3 linked regions of the Macaca mulatta genome follow. The protein of the gene in region 3 interacts with the protein of the main gene of each other region in a biochemical or structural test. Links are inferred from orthologs where the notes say so. Each region holds a gene or a part of one and is shown on either strand. Other genes may lie near its edges.

Region 1 (2,508 bases), on a different chromosome or scaffold from region 3:
GAAGCAGAGGGGAAACTGAGGCACTGAGGGGACATGTGACTTCCCTGAGAGGCAGAGCTGGGACTGGAACCCAGCTGCGTTTCAGGAAGGAGCTGTGGGCTTTGAGGGAGGAGGCCTGGGTCCCCACAGTTCCCCCTCAGGCCTCAGTGTCCTCATGTGCAAACCAGCAGTCACAGTGGTGACCTCTTCTGTGCATCTTCCCTCAATGAGGCAGTGAGCGCCGAAGACCAGAAACAGGGCCTGGTGCAGCCAGGGTCCTCCTGCTGCTGATGTCTGTGCTGGCGACTCATGGCAACACAGTTAATTGAACGCTCTGGCCTCCAGAGTGCTGTGCCCAGGAGCTGGTCTCCCACTGGGCTCAGATCCAGTTCCTGATCTGGGTCTCCGGGTCCCATCCTGCGAGGGGACAGGCCCAGCTCAGGGTGACGGGGGCTGTAGTAGAGGCAGTACTAGGTGCCGGAGCTGCAGGCGGAATGACAGGACCGCTCCTTGGTGGGGGCTGACACAGGGAGGGATCTTTTCTGTAGCGCAGTGGCCACATGATAAAGCAGTAACAGCTGATTATCTCAGTCCTCACAGAGACCCTGTTATCCGCTCCCATTTTTCAGAAGGGGATACTGAGGCCTAGGGAAGCAAAACCTCTTGCTCACAGCTAGTCAGCAGTAGAGGTCTGATTGGAACATGACTGAAATCCCAGCCCAGATCCTCAGACTTGAGAGGGTGCACGCAGCCTTAATAGATAGCAGACAACAGCATTTCCATGTGTAGGAAGTAATGTCCCAGGCCAAGAAGGGGAGGGAGAGGGGCAGGAAGGCTTCGTGGAGGAGGTGTCTGAACCGGGTAGAACGGTTCCTATGCGGAGCAAGACGGGAAGGGCATTGCTGGCAGTGGGCATCGCAGGGCACAACTGGCAGGGCGGGGACGTGCTAGGAGTGGGCTTGGAGCCAGGGTGCACCCCTGGGCTGCGTGTGGGTGCAGGGGGCGTGCCCTGCCGGCGCTGACCTCGCCCGGTCGTCGTCCGCCCCCCCGCAGCCCTCTTCGCCCGACCTGGACCGTATCGCGGCAAGCATGCGCGCGCTGGTGCTGAGAGAGGCCGAGGACACCCAGGTCTTCGGGGACCTGCCACGGCCGCGGCTTAACACCAGCGACTTCCAGAAGCTGAAGCGGAAATACTGAGGCCCAGGGAGGGAGCGTCCCGGGCCTCATCCGCCCCGTCCCACACTACGCCCCCGCCCCACTCCCGGGGCCAGCCAATCTGAGGCCGATCCGGGACCCGCCTCCTTGCGTCTCCGGTTCCCAGGATTGAGCCGCCTCTGCCAATCCACGTCGCCCTTCCAGCCCATGACCTCCCGCGCCGAGGAGCGGGATCTGTCCCGTTTCCCGATTGGGTCTGTCGCGCCTCTCCGCCTAGCGACAGATTCCTTCTATTAAGGGATTGGCTCGTTCAGTTCTAAGCTCTAAATGGGTCAATTCCGTTGTTTTTCGCCTAGCGACAAGGGCTTTGCTCGCACGTCATTGGCTCCATCCCCTAGTCGCTGGGCAGCTCTTATTTTTGATTGGCTCGAATCCTTTAAAGGGCTTGACCAGTCTCCGCATAGTCATCGTCCGCTTTTCCTGAGTTGTCCCTCCTGATTGGCTCCAGCTTCCTGTGGGGGCGTGGCCAAGCCCTCCTGTTCCCAGAATTGGCCTGGGGCCTTCAATTTACATTCTTTACACTACGGGGGCTGGGGTCGTTGCCTCTGGCACCCCCTTTCATTGGTTCCATCCATCCCCACAACAGCCTGCCAATCGAAGCCCGTCCCTGCATCCAGGATGGTACCAGCTCCCGTCCCTCGCCCCCCACCTCCACAGGTGCCTTAAAGGGCCCTCGTCCACCCAAGGTGGGGGGCAGGGGCCCTCACTCTCCGGCCCTGGTGTAGGGGAGAGAGTGAGGGGTTGGGGGATTGGCAGTTGGGAAGGGCGCTCTGAGATTAAAGAGTTTTACCTCTGACAGATAAATGTGTGGTGTGTCGTGAGTGTTCATTCAACATTTTCTGAAACCGAATGGCAACGTCTGATTATCAGTGAACAGCTGGGGGTTGGAATGACTGTGTCCATTTTATTTATTTTTGAGACAGGGTCCCACTCTCGCTCAGGTTCAAGTGATTCTCCTGCCTCAACCTCCCGAGTAGCTGGGATTACGCGCCACTGCCGCCCGGATAATTTTTGTATTTTCAGTAGAAACAGGGTTTCACCATGTTGGCCACGCTGGTCTCGAACTCCTGACCTCAAATGATCTACCCGCCTCGGCCTCCCAAAGTGCTGGGATTACAGGAGTCAGCCACCGCGCCTGGCTCTGTGCCCATTTTATACATATGAAGACAAGAGGTTCATGGGGTGGAAGAGAGCATTCCAGTCTTGTGTGACCATGGACCCCAATCTTGGGGTGATGGTTGGAGCCAGAGGAGGCCACATATTCACCAGCAAAGCCAGGAACTCCAGCCGGGAGTCTTCTATTATAAAAGGACT
Region 2 (3,520 bases), on a different chromosome or scaffold from region 3:
CGTCTCTACTAAAAAATACAAAAAACTAGCCGGGCGAGGTGGTGGGCGCCTGTAGTCCCGGCTACTCGGGAGGCTGAGGCAGGAGAATGGCGTAAAAACCCGGGAGGCAGAGCTTGCAGTGAGCTGAGATCCGGCCACTGCACTCCAGCCTGGGCGACACAGCAAGACTCCATCTCAAAAAAAAAAAAAAAAAAAAATCTTTGCCTAACATAAGGTCATGAAGATTCTCTCCTGTTTTCTTCTTGAAGGTTAATAACTTTAGGCCTTATATTTAGGTTTATGTTCCATTTTGAGTTTTGTAAATTTTGCATATGGGTGTCTAATTGTTCCAGCACCATTTGTTGAAGAGACTGACACAAGCAATGACGTGGATTTTTATAAATCTCAAATGCATTATGCTGAATGTGAGAATCTAGACATAAAAAGGCTACATACTCCATGATTCCATTAACATGACATGCCAGAAAAGGCACAACTATAGGGATAGAAATCAGATCAATGATTGCCAGAGACTGGGTTTGGAGAGGGGTGACCCACTACAAACGGCACAAGGCAACTTTTGGGGATGATGGGAGTATTATTCCACATCTCAATTGCAGCGGTTGTTATACGACAGTTCATGTTTGTTAAAATTCAGAGGCCCGCACAACTAAAAAGTGTGAATTTTATTCTGTGTAAATTATTATTCAATAAACCTGATTTTAAAAATTATCAAGTGACAAGATGAAAAGGTGTGATTTGTTTGCAGGGTTCAGCGCTGTGGCTCACGCCTGTAATCCCAGTACTTTGAGAGGCCGAGGCAGGCAGATCAAAAGGCCAGGAGTTCGATACCAGCCTGGCCAGCAGAGTGAAACCCTATCTCTACTAAAAATACAAAAATGAGCCGGCATGGTGGTGCGTGTCTGTAGTCCCAGTTACTCAGAAGACTGAGGCAGGAGACTCGCTTGAACCCAGGAGGAGGAGGCTGCAATGAGCTGAGATTGGGGCACTACATTCCAGCCTGGGCGACAGAGTGAGACTCTGTCCCAAACAAAAACAAAACAAAAGAAAGTGACCTTAATGCAAGTTAAAATTAGCAAAGAAACCAAAAGGGGGAGAACTAGACAGTCATTACCAGGCTCCCTTACTGCACTGCCACTGTTTCCCAAAAAAAGGGAAGACAGCAATTCAGAGTGAGCACTAAAGAAAGCATTATCCAATAGCCATAGGCTCACTTTTCAGGCTAGTGACCTAACAATTTAACAAACATGAAGCTAAGTCTAGAAAAAACTAATCAACGAAATAACATTTACCTTTGGAGTCAGCATTTGGGAACAGCCTGTTCCATGGCACCTTATTTTTGTGTGGAAGAGAAAGCAAATAGTTCCTAGCTTTTAAATTTATTATACAATTCAGGTCTTCTTGTGATGGGGATCCAAGAATACCTATCAGATAAAAAAATTAGCTGTTAGTTATCAAGACCAAGGCAAATGACTACACACCATCAACTGTGAGTCAGAATGAACCCTGATAATTAACGGTTTATCACCACCCCTAATGCTTACCTTTCTTAAGTTTTTACACAAAAGTCCTTAACATTTTAAATCAGGGAAGGTTAAAAATTCACACCTACCACAGGTTAAAGAGTGTATTAGAATTCTTCTTAATTTAATGAAGTGACTTTGATATAAGCTGTAGGCAGGCAAACTTGAGTAAATTTAGCTCCTGAAGGGCTCGGGAACCTTACCCAGAATGTGGTTCAGCTGGTCAAGATAATGCTTCCCTGGAAAGATGGGCCTGTTAGAAAGCATTTCTGCCAGAATGCAGCCTACAGACCAAATATCAATGGACTTGGTGTAGCCCTGCAGGAGAAAGAGAGACAAGACTGAAAATGGCATCTGGTGTTATAGGACATGAAGAGATCTTCCTGTATGACAGGTACATTGCTGATGGGACTCTGAACTTCTCCTTTGACTCCACAATTCGGAAAGATGAGTAAACAGCATGGAAAAACAAAAAACAATTTGGCTTTCTTTGAGAAGCTGAACAACCAAGATTATGTGATTTTATTTTTCTCTTCATAGTTGATTAACTTGGGCTGGGCACAGTGGCTCATTCCTGTAATCCCAGCACTTTGGGAGGCAGAGGTGGGCAGATCACTTGAGGCCAGGAGTTTGAGCTTAGCCTGGCCAACATGGTGAAACCCCATCTCTACTAAAAATAAAAAAAAATTAGCCGGCCATGGTGGTGGGTGCCTGTAATTCCAGCTATGTGGGAGGCTGAGGCAGGAGAATTGCTTGAACCCAGGAGGCAGAGGTTGCAGTGAGCCAAGATCGTGCCACTGCACTCCAGCCTGGGTGACAGAGTGAGACTCCGTCTCAAAACAACAACAAACCCACAAAGTTGATTAATTTATTAAATTAGAATTTCCAAAGTATACATCAGTCCTTTTTTGAAACAATTTGAGAGACAGATTTAGAATTGTCATAAATTGGAGCTGGAAAAAGAAAAAAGGTCTAAAAATCTTTTCTGGGCTGGGGGGAGAGTGTGCTAACTCCAACATATTTTACCAAGCTCTTCTAAAATATTCTCGGCTGGGCATGGTGGCTCATGTCTGCAATCCCAACACTTTGGGAGGCTGAGATGGGCGAATCACCTGACGTCAGGAGTTGGAGACCAGCCTAGCCAACATGGTAAAACCCCGTCTCTACTAAAACTACAAAAATTAGCCGGGTGTGCTGGTGGGCACCCATAGTTCCAGCTACTTGGGAGCCTTAGGCAGGAGAATCACTTGAACCTGGGAGGCAGAGGTTGCAGTGAGTCAAGACTGTACCACTGCACTCCAGCCTGGGCAACAGAGGGAGACTCCATCTCCAAAAAATAATAATAAATAAATAAATAAATAAATAAATAAATAAAAGAATTCTCATCTTCTTTTCCTATTCATTTTTCAGGAATATATTTTCTTTTAAAGGAATCCTGTTAGAAGTCATGGGAGGATACTTTGGGAAGCTGAGGTGGGAGCACTGCTTGAGGCCAGGAGTTTGAGGCTGCAGTGAGCACTGTTAGACTCCTAATGGCAGCATGTGAAAGAAAATGCATTTCCTCATGTCCTCAACAACACCGGGTATTATCTAATTATTTTATTATTATTATTTTTGCCACACACAGTGGCTCACACCTGCAGTTCCAGTTACTCGGGAGGCTGAGGTGGGAGGATCACTTGAGCTCAGGGATTGGAGGCTGCAGTGACCTATGACTGAGCCAATGCATTCCAGCCTGAGTGACACAGTGAGACCCTGTCTCTAAAAATAAAAATAAAAAAAAAATCATGTAAGGATTCTGTCTGAATTATAACAATGGTGCAAAAAAGATGTTTCTCCAAGGAATATAAGGTGACTCTTCTAAAATTAAGAGATGGTATCATCACTCTGTCACTCAGGCTGAAGTGCAATGGTGTAATCATGCCTCACTGCAAAATCAACTTCCTTGTCTCAGGTGATCCTCTCACCTCAGCCTCCTGAGTAGCTGGGGCTACAAG
Region 3 (3,520 bases):
CCCACCAGCCAGGTCCTGGGTAGATGAAGCCCTCCCTGACCCTCCACGAATGCCACCGTCACCCGGCTCCGGAAAGAGCACGGCTGGTGGATTCTTCCCGGGCCTCAACTCACAGCCTCTGACCGGAGAACTGAGGTGTTGGGGAGCACTGGACTCAAGGCCAGGACGGTGCAGAGGCCCAGCCTCAGGCAAGGGGGAGGACACTGAGGCCGCCCAGGAGCCGCCCCTCTGGCAGGGAAGGTGAGGAGGGCGGGCCTTCGTCCATCTCAGAGGCTTCAGGCCCTGACCCCTTGGGAGCCTCAGGCAGAGCTTCCTCCCCAGACATCCCAGCTCCCACGGCCACGCCAGGGCTGGCCCAGCGGGTGCGTGTCCTCTAAGAGTAAAGAATATGCCCTTTGAGCTTGGGGTTGCATTTAGGGGGAATCCAGCTGGGGCCTTCCATTGGTGTTGGCGCTTCCTCGGTCAAAGGCCTTTTCTGGGACTGAAGCGGCTCCACGGCAGCCACCAGCCTCTGCTTCTTGTGGCGGCCTCCACAGAGCGCGTCCCGTCTGACCTTCACACCCCCATGCCTTTGCCCCTAGGCCACCGTGAATGCCCGGCCGCAGCGCGTCCTGGACACCTCCTCCCTCACACAGTCGGCCCCTGCCAGCCCCACCAACAAGGGTGTGCACATCCACCAGGCGGGGTAAGTGCCGCCCGCTCAGCCTGCAGGTCCATAGTGGTCACCAGGGCCCCACGGGCTGAGCTCTCCCTGAGTCAGCCTCCCCATCCTCCTCCTTCCCCGCCCTGTCTTGGCTTCATCTCCTCCCCCCTCTCTAATGGGCATTCTCTTTCCCTCTCCCTCCTGGACACCCCGGTACCCTGCCTTGAACTCTCCCCTATCTTGAGAAACCCTTCATTTGCACATCGTCTCAGCAAAAGTTGAACTAAGCCTGGTCTCTGTGGCCTTTCAGAGTTCTCAAGAGGGGATCTAGATCTCCAAGTGGGTAACCAACAGGTGTTTGCACCTCAGGACGTGGCACTGCTGTGCGCTGAGCTTGCGCATCCCGGCCCACTCGGCTCTGAGCTGGTTTCGTGCTGTCCACATTGCCTTCCAGGGCGCTGGAGTTCAATGAGGGACACCCCTGCCCCCTGCCAGTCGGGCAACTGAGCAGCATGGACTCGGCACCAGCAGCTGGTGTGCCGGGAGACTGAGGACACCCTGGGCCCTGGTGGTATCTGGGAGGGTGCAGGTGGCCCAGGAAGTTGTTCCATGTTTCCCCTCGAAGCTCCAGACTCCACAGAGAACGCAGTGTTTGTTTTTCTCCCAATGGCAGGGGCTCCCCTCCAGCGTCCAGCACCAGCAGCTCCAGCCTGACCAATGACGTGGCCAAGCAGCCGGTCAGCCGAGACCTGCCTTCTGGCCGGCCGGGCACCACAGGCCCCGCGGGGGCGCAATACACCCCTCACTCCCACCAGTTCCCCCGGACACGGAAGATGTTCGACAAGGGCCCAGAGCAGGTACGGAGCCCCGGCTGCCTCGTGATCTGGACACTGATAGTGTTGCTTCTCAGATGGGGGCTCATGGCCTCGGCCTCAGGCTGTTTACGTCGGGCACTGCCCCTTGCTCATGCACCCCCTGCCTGCACTCTTTAGGAGTACTGCCAGGTTTGTCCTGGTTCTCCGCCCCTGGTTTTGGGTTCACCATTCTTGGCAGCTTCCATGTAACGAAACAGGAGCGTGGAGTTACCCGGCTCTCCCCTTCCTGGGCGTACAGCACTCTGCGTCCCCTCAGGGGCAGCTGCACTACAGAGCGTTTGTTCTGAATGGGTTGTCTTTTCTGTGAATGTCCAAGTACACTGCATAAATAGGTGCGCTCTCTTTGCCTTTAACTAAGTTGAAAAAGAAATTTCTGGAGAGAGGAATGTGTGCTTTGTTTTGCTGGGGTTGTGCGAGCGTTGTGAGGCGGTGGCTGGTCTGGAGACCTCGGCTGTCTCGTCCAGGCGTTGCCACTTTGTCACTTGAGGGCACCGGAGCTCAGGAAGGTGGTTCAGGGCACACCCAGCACACCCAGCTGCTCTGGGTTCTGACAGCATGATCAGCTCAGCAACGGAGTGGGGTCCGGGGCTCGCTTGGTCATTCAGTGATTTTAAAAGAAGTTAGTGGCCGCCTTGCAGGGTGCCTTGGAGCAGGAACGGCCATGTTGGGGTAGAAGAGCTGTCACAGCAGGAGCAGGCAGGTCCCCACAGGTGCTGCTCAGCCCCAGCCCACCTGGACTTTCCGTGTCTTGGCAGAGGAGGAGCAAGAACCACCACCGAGCCCCAAGTGCAGGGTCAGCCTCCTGGCCAGCCCCTGATGGGGACAGGAGGCCACGGTCCTGGGGAGCAGTGCCGCCGGCACGTGCAGCGCCCCCACCTGACCCCGCCCTGGGCCACGGCTCTCACTGCAGAGCCAGAGCAGCTGCCTAGGGTGGGGGGGATGCACCTCTCACTGCGCCTGCCCTGGGATCACGGGGAGCTCCCTATGCCAAGACACAGCAGGAGAGATGCCAGCAGGCCCACCCCCACGCATATGGCGTGGCACAGGAGACCCCTGGTGCCCAGCCTCACTGCACAAACACACACAGACTCTGACAGCCCTGGCCGCCGCAGGTTCCACAACAGGAAACACGCAAAGCTCAGTCCTCCTCAGCTCCACATCCTCTTTCTCCAGGGGCTGGGAGCCCAGCCGGCCTGCACAGCTGCACGCTCCGTCCAGGCCACTTCACACGGAGTCCCCGCTCTCAGCCTGCTGTCACGGGGCCATCAGGGGAGCTGTCCTGGGACCACGCGGCGGAGGCTTTTTGGGGTTGATAGACCAGCACACAGGGACGCGCGTGGCACTGTCTGGACAGTCGGCTAGAATTGACTTGGGAGCTGTGGTGGGTCGGCCCTGGGGATGATGGGACAGACGTGGCTCACGCTTCACAGCCCGGGCCCCTCAATCCCTGGCCAGACATTTAGGGGTTCTCAGCCCGGGCCCCTCAATCCCAGGCCAGATGTTCAGGGGCTCTTGGTCACCAGAATATGGAAGTGAGCAGAGCACAGAAGTGCTGTCCTTAGGGGCAGCCCGGAGCGCCCGGCAATGCCTTTGTCCCCTGCTGGAGCTCTTTTGAGCTTAAGAGTGGCATGACTGACTGGTGTTTCTTTTTCCTTCCACCCCTCCTGCTTAAACCCTGAAGACTGCGGACGATGCAGACGATGCTGCTGGACACAAAAGCTTCATCTCCGCCACGGTGCAGACGGGGTTCTGCGACTGGAGTGCCCGCTATTTCGCCCAGCCCGTCATGAAGGTACGCCCGGAGCACGGGGTTGAGAGTAGAGTCCTAGCGAACGTGTGTCTGTCCCACGTCTTTGAGCATAAACACTCAGGGCTCGTGGCTGTGGGAGTGTCGCTGTTGTGGTAGTGGTAGTGGTAGTGGTAGTGGTTGTGGTTGTGGTAGTGGTTGTGGTTGTGGTTGTGGTAGTGGTAGTGGTAGTGGTTGTGGTTGTGGTAGTGGTAG

Evidence for each region. The genes of interacting proteins can lie anywhere in the genome.
Region 1: the proteins of RPTOR (region 3) and AKT1S1 interact in a biophysical measurement, tested with the Homo sapiens proteins (2 studies listed by BioGRID and IntAct, with this or other methods). The link is inferred for Macaca mulatta from reciprocal best matches to the Homo sapiens genes RPTOR and AKT1S1.
Region 2: of the proteins of RPTOR (region 3) and MAPK1, one has a biochemical effect on the other in vitro, tested with the Homo sapiens proteins (2 studies listed by BioGRID, with this or other methods). The link is inferred for Macaca mulatta from reciprocal best matches to the Homo sapiens genes RPTOR and MAPK1.

What each region holds. Positions count from the first base shown.
Region 1 is NC_133424.1:62,332,155-62,334,662, reverse strand, and holds the end of AKT1S1 (proline-rich AKT1 substrate 1), read left to right. Parts: intron 1-1,032; coding exon 1,033-1,176; 3' UTR 1,177-1,998; downstream 1,999-2,508. UniProt on the Homo sapiens protein: Negative regulator of the mechanistic target of rapamycin complex 1 (mTORC1), an evolutionarily conserved central nutrient sensor that stimulates anabolic reactions and macromolecule biosynthesis to promote cellular biomass generation and growth.
Region 2 is NC_133415.1:31,200,577-31,204,096, reverse strand, and holds part of MAPK1 (mitogen-activated protein kinase 1), read right to left. Parts: intron 1,842-3,520; coding exon 1,727-1,841; intron 1,425-1,726; coding exon 1,293-1,424; exon of another isoform or gene 806-1,292; intron 1-805. UniProt on the Homo sapiens protein: Serine/threonine kinase which acts as an essential component of the MAP kinase signal transduction pathway. MAPK1/ERK2 and MAPK3/ERK1 are the 2 MAPKs which play an important role in the MAPK/ERK cascade.
Region 3 is NC_133421.1:90,615,260-90,618,779, forward strand, and holds part of RPTOR (regulatory-associated protein of mTOR), read left to right. Parts: intron 1-581; coding exon 582-685; intron 686-1,316; coding exon 1,317-1,500; intron 1,501-3,199; coding exon 3,200-3,310; intron 3,311-3,520. UniProt on the Homo sapiens protein: Component of the mechanistic target of rapamycin complex 1 (mTORC1), an evolutionarily conserved central nutrient sensor that stimulates anabolic reactions and macromolecule biosynthesis to promote cellular biomass generation and growth.